Tribolium castaneum: one gene and its partner. The protein of the gene in region 1 interacts with the protein of each later gene in a biochemical or structural test. Links are inferred from orthologs where the notes say so. Each region holds a gene or a part of one and is shown in the gene's direction. Other genes may lie near its edges.

Region 1 (3,470 bases):
GAGTTTTTTTAATACTTATCAACAGATTTTGTGAATTTTTACAAAATGTAGCAGAATGAAAAAGGTATCTAACGGTCTGACATTTGAATTAATAATTAAATTTCTCTATACATTTTTTTCTTGGCATTTCTCACATACACTGTACACTGTAAAAACTTGAAGAGACACGTCAACAATTCTATGTTTTTTATGGCATACCGGAAACTATCGACTGGACTCTTGTAGAAATTTTTACTTTTTTTATTAGCCAGTATCAATGAATTGTACGAATTCATAAAGATTTTTGCTCCCAAAGCAAATATTTTCCAATGGGCCTCGGGCATAGCAAATTTTGCTCCTGCTAGACGCTTGTAGAACTACTCTTTGATTAATTTTTTTTGATAGGACTGAAATTAACAGTGAATTATGATATTCATCCCAAAATAAAAAAAAATCTGTTCTGATACGACAGTTTTAAAATTAAACCTAAAACCATCCTTGGATTATATAAAATAATTTTATGTTAAGCTGGATTCATTTTTTTCTAAGTGGATTGCTGATAACTTAACAAAAAGATGAAAAAAATTTTGTGAACTTCCACACAGTTGTAGCTATTAAAGATGTTAAAAATTATAAAAGGAACATGTTTCGTTGGTAACTATCATTTTCAGACGTGTTTACATTGAAAAAGAGATGAATAAAAAAGAAATTAAAAAAGTAAAAATTAACTAAGTTACATAAAATATTTTTTAAAGTTTTTTTCTATCACTTTGGTTAAAAGAATTTTCTTGTTAGGCCAAAAATCCAGCAACAGTTCTCCGACTTGAAACGCGACCTGCAGAACGTCTCCGACGACGAATGGCGGAGCGTCCCAGACGTGGGGGACGCCCGTAACCGGAAACAGCGCAATCCCCGAGCCGAAAAATTCATCCCTTTGCCCGACAGCGTCCTAGCCCGGAACCTGGGGGGCGAATCCAACACCACCATTGACCCCAGTTCGGGGCTAGCAAGCATGGTTCCGGGTGTTGCCACCCCCGGAATGCTCACCCCGACCGGAGACATGGACTTGCGAAAAATCGGACAAGCCCGCAACACTCTCATGAATGTTAAGTTGTCGCAAGTGTCCGATTCGGTGACTGGACAAACAGTTGTGGACCCGAAAGGGTATTTGACCGATTTGCAATCAATGATTCCCACCTACGGTGGGGATATTAATGATATTAAGAAGGCGAGATTGTTGCTTAAATCGGTGAGGGAGACGAATCCGAATCATCCTCCGGCGTGGATTGCTAGTGCCAGGCTGGAGGAAGTTACGGGGAAGGTGCAAGCGGCGAGGAATTTGATTATGAAAGGGTGTGAGGTTAATCCACAAAGTGAGGATTTGTGGCTGGAGGCGGCCAGGATTAATCCCCAGGATACGGCCAAGGCGGTGATTGCGCAGGCGGCCAGGCATATTCCAACGTCGGTACGGATCTGGATCAAGGTATGAGAAATACAAGTCTTTTGTTATTGATTTTTTATTATGTTTTTTTCTTCCCATTATTTTGTTTATTATGCTTAAAAATAAAAATACTCTGTCAATTGTTTAATTAAAATTAAATTTAAAATTTTTGTAGTGTTTACATTTTTTTTATTCATCACGAGAATATCATTTTAAAAGTACGTAACCAATAATAATAATATTATGGGACCTATTACTAGAAATAAAAGTTTTTTTTTACCTGTCTTTTTTCATCGTCACTATTTTGTTTATTAAGGTTTGGTCATCTTATTTTATAGAGAGTGAAATTGCTGTGGATTTTTTTTTGAATTTGAATGAAATTAACTTAAAAATAAAATTAATAGTCAGTCAAGAGAATTTTTAAACAAAAATTTAAGATTTTTAAAAGTACGTAACCAATAATAATAATATTATGGGATCTATTACTAGAAATAAAAGTCTTTTTTTACCTGTCTTTTTTTATCATCATTATTTTGTTTATTATGGTTTGGTTATCTTATTTTATACAGAGTGAAATTGCTGTGGATTTTTTTTTAAATTTGAATGAAATTAACTTAAAAATAAAATTAATAGTCAGTCAAGAGAATTTTTAAACAAAAATTTAAGATTTTTAAAAGTACGTAACCAATAATAATAATATTATGGGATCTATTACTAGAAATAAAAGTCTTTTTTTACCTGTCTTTTTTTATCGTCATTATTTTGTTTATTATGGTTTGGTCATCTTATTTTATACAGAGTGAAATTGCTGTGGATTTTTTTTTTTAATTTGAGTGAAATTAACTTAAAAATAAAATTAATAGTCAGTCAAGAGAATTTTTATACAAAAATTTAAGATTTTTGTAGTGTTTACATTTTTTTATTCACCACGAGAATAGCATTTTAAAAGTACGTAACCAATAATAATAATATTAGGGACCTATTACTAGAAATAAAAGTCTTTTTTACCTGTCTTTTTTTATCGTCATTATTTTGTTTATTATGGTTTGGTCATCTTATTTTATACAGAGTGAAATTGCTGTGGTTTTTTTTTTTAATTTGAATGAAATTAACAAAAAAATAAAATTAATAGTCAGTCATGAGAATTTTTAAACAAAAATTTAAGATTTTTGTAGTGTTCATATTTTTTTTAAATTAGTGAATTTATTAGTAGTTATTAATATAGCATTTTTAAAGTACTTACCCATTAACTATTGCGTCTATTTTATCGAAAATTCAATCATTGCACATATTTTATTAAGTGCGGTTTTGTAAGACATTTGTTTCATTAGATTTCTTCAAGATTTAGTAGGAGTTTCAACTTTATACTCAGACATGTGCAGTTTTATTTATGACAAGCTTTGAGGAAAGTTTTTATTTGTTTTATGATTCTTGACTATAAGCAAGTTTTAAGCTTTTTTTGCATCTATAATGGCTCTAATATTTTTTGGACCATAAAAATCTAAGTTGTCAAAATCAAACACGCTTAAAAGCGAAAATTAAAATACACTTAAGTCGAAAAATCACTTAATTACGTCGACAGTTAACTTATTTTGTGAAATTTAGTTCATAAATGTTGTTATTTTTATGTATTTTGTATTTGTTTTAAGAGTGAAAATTAAGTAGGATAATACTTAATAATTAATTTATTATTTGGTTTTATGATTTTTCCCCTCATTATTTTGTTTATTATTTTTTTGTTAAATGTAAATGAGACTGAAGACAATTTTTTAAACAAAAATTGACCGTTTCTGTAGTTTTTTATTTTTTTAAATTCACCACAAAAATTCTTGTTTGAATATTTTGATGTGAAAAATATTTTAAAATCGAAAAATTAATAAAAATAAACTTTTTTGTATTTTATTTTTTTGTTTCTGAGTTAAGATTATGTAATGACATAAGTTTGGCGTCTTGTTTTTGAGTAAAAAACTTACTTATTTTTTGAAATTTTGTCAAATATGACTAAAACAGATCGAAATTGACATTATTTTGAAGTGTTTAGTATCTTTTT
Region 2 (2,492 bases), on another chromosome or scaffold:
ATATCTGAACTTTTTTTAATCAGTCAATCAAATAGCAAATTCAGTTCTAGCACAAATTCTCTAAAAATGCAAGATAATTCTGAAAATCACATGGGAAAACCTGAAACAATTCTTAGTAATGTCACCAAACATGTACTAGGTATTAAATGTTCTCATTTATATTCTGAGATATGTTAAAAAATCAGCCTGTATTTATTTATGAAGTTTTAAAAAAAAAAGCGTAGCTATTTTGCACTTTTTTCTACAATATTAGTTGTACGTGTACGTTGTCGCTGACTTAAAAACTTTTTCTGTAGATATTTGCATTAGGTACTCAGGCTTGTTCTCTGTTTACTTATTGTGAATTTAATATAATATAATTTGAAACTATTAAAAACATCTTAAAACTCATTATTTCAACCATAAAAAATCAGAACCTTTAGTTTGCAATTTATTTAAAAAATAAAGCTTGTAACAAAAAAATTCTAAAATTCTGTCGTTCTGGGCTATAGCCCATTTTCTCCTTATGTAAATATGCGACTGCTAATAAGTAATGAGAGCATAAGAGAAATTCGTATTTGCACGTATTTGGAGGACATCTTTTTTGAAACACACAGTATAAACAAATTTTAAAGTAGCTTGTGCCATCTCTTGGATAGTTGCCAAACATACCATTTCAATTTTACAGTTTTTCTTAACTTTTTGGGTTTTTTACAATATATTTTTGAGTTGTTTATGTTTTAGTAATAAGCGTGGTGAAAAATTTGCGGTAAAAAAAGCTGATTATGATTATTTCCAAAAAAAACAAATATTAAAAAATTTAACCGTGGATACAAACCAAAAGTGCAGATCGGTTTTGAGAGCATGCGTGTTGTTTGTTTTGCATTTGTCAAAAATGTCAAAACGAAAATTCAACGAAGGCGATTTTTCGCAAAATAAGCGGCGCCAGGTGAAGTTTAACGCAAAAAAACATTCCTTGGATTCGGACGAAGAGGACGATTACGATGAGACCGCTGAAGAGCTCAACGCCGACGACATCGAGGGCGAAGAGGAGGGAATTTCGCGTCAGGTTGAAGGGGTCCGGATGACCGCCTTCAACATGAAAGAGGAGATGGAAGAAGGGCATTTCGACAAAGAGGGCCACTTTATTTGGAACAACGAGAAGGAAATACGGGATAATTGGTTGGACAACATCGACTGGCATAAAGTCAACAGTGACGATAAGTACCAGTTGGACCCCAACGAGAAAGGCTTGGGGGCCGAGAGTGATTCTGAGTCGGAAGCTGAGGATTTCGATGAGGTCGGTTTGTACAAAAAGATGCTCAACTACATGAAACCCAAAGAAACGGTCAACAAGTGTTTGAGGCGGTTAGGGGGCGATTTGAAGTTGTCCAGTGTCGAGAGACTGAAGCGCAAGAAGGCAGGGACTTTGAATTCGAATCAGGATGTGGCGGACATGACCGAGATCGCGAATAGTATATTAACGAAGACGGGGAACATGAACGTATACCAGGAGACTTTTGAAGAAATTACCAAAAAAATTGACGACCGAACGAAACCGAAAAACAGTGAGCCTGTTCTGGACATGTATGCTGACGACTTCGGCGACAAGGAGAAGGAGAAGATGGAGACGGCGTCAGTGTCAGGTAAACCAGAGCAGTTAATGTGGGAATTTAAGTGGGACCAAGACAAGGACCAAGTCGAGGGTCCGTACGACACCTCACAAATGTTAAAGTGGTCCAAAGAAGGGTACTTCAAGACGGGAGTGTGGGTGCGTAAGTGTGGCGAACAATCCAACTTTTACACCTCGAACCGGATAGACTTCGAGCTGTATGACTAACAGTGTTATAAAAATTTTATTATCAATATACATAAAAAGTCAAGCAATTTGCTTAAAGGCACTTAATTACATTCCGTTGTAAGCCGGGCCGCCACCTCCTTCGGGAACCACCCAGTTGATGTTCTGACTCGGGTCTTTAATATCGCAAGTTTTGCAATGTATACAGTTCTGGGCGTTGATTTGCAGCCTTTGACCGTCCCCACTTTCAAGCGGGACGAATTCGTACACTCCTGCTGGACAAAACCGGCCTTCAGGCCCGTCATAAATGCCCAAATTTTGCTTAACAGGAACGGTATCGTCCTTCAGGGTTAGATGCGGGGGTTGGTCACCTTCATGATTGGTCCCAGTCAGCGCAACGGAAGAGAGGAGATCGAAGCTGATTTTACCGTCAGGCTTCGGATAATCGATAGGTGTACAGTCTTTGGCCGGTTTGAGTCTCTTGTAATCGGGATCGCCATGTTTGAAAGTCCACGGTTCCATCCCCCCAATCATTATGGAAAATCCACTGTACATCACTCCTCCATACATCCCCAAAGGATTATGGAAGCTGGGTCGTACGTTCCTCACCCGTTTCAAGTCTTTCCAAATGAAACTGTTCTTAACTTTGTCTGGATAGCTCTTCGGTTCAAAACCTTCAGTTTCTTGTTTTTCGCTATTAATGGCTTCGTAGGCG

Evidence for each region. The genes of interacting proteins can lie anywhere in the genome.
Region 2: the proteins of Prp6 (region 1) and holn1 form a complex in vitro, tested with the Homo sapiens proteins (2 studies listed by BioGRID and IntAct). The link is inferred for Tribolium castaneum from reciprocal best matches to the Homo sapiens genes PRPF6 and CD2BP2.

Annotation. Positions count from the first base shown.
Region 1 is NC_087399.1:6,879,958-6,883,427, forward strand, and holds part of Prp6 (pre-mRNA-processing factor 6), read left to right. Parts: intron 1-774; coding exon 775-1,462; intron 1,463-3,470. UniProt on the Homo sapiens protein: Involved in pre-mRNA splicing as component of the U4/U6-U5 tri-snRNP complex, one of the building blocks of the spliceosome.
Region 2 is NC_087402.1:7,512,517-7,515,008, reverse strand, and holds holn1 (CD2 antigen cytoplasmic tail-binding protein 2 homolog), read left to right. Parts: upstream 1-836; 5' UTR 837-874; coding exon 875-1,819; 3' UTR 1,820-1,866; downstream 1,867-2,492. Other genes in the region: Etf-QO (electron transfer flavoprotein-ubiquinone oxidoreductase, mitochondrial), read right to left, coding at 1,886-2,492. UniProt on the Homo sapiens protein: Involved in pre-mRNA splicing as component of the U5 snRNP complex that is involved in spliceosome assembly.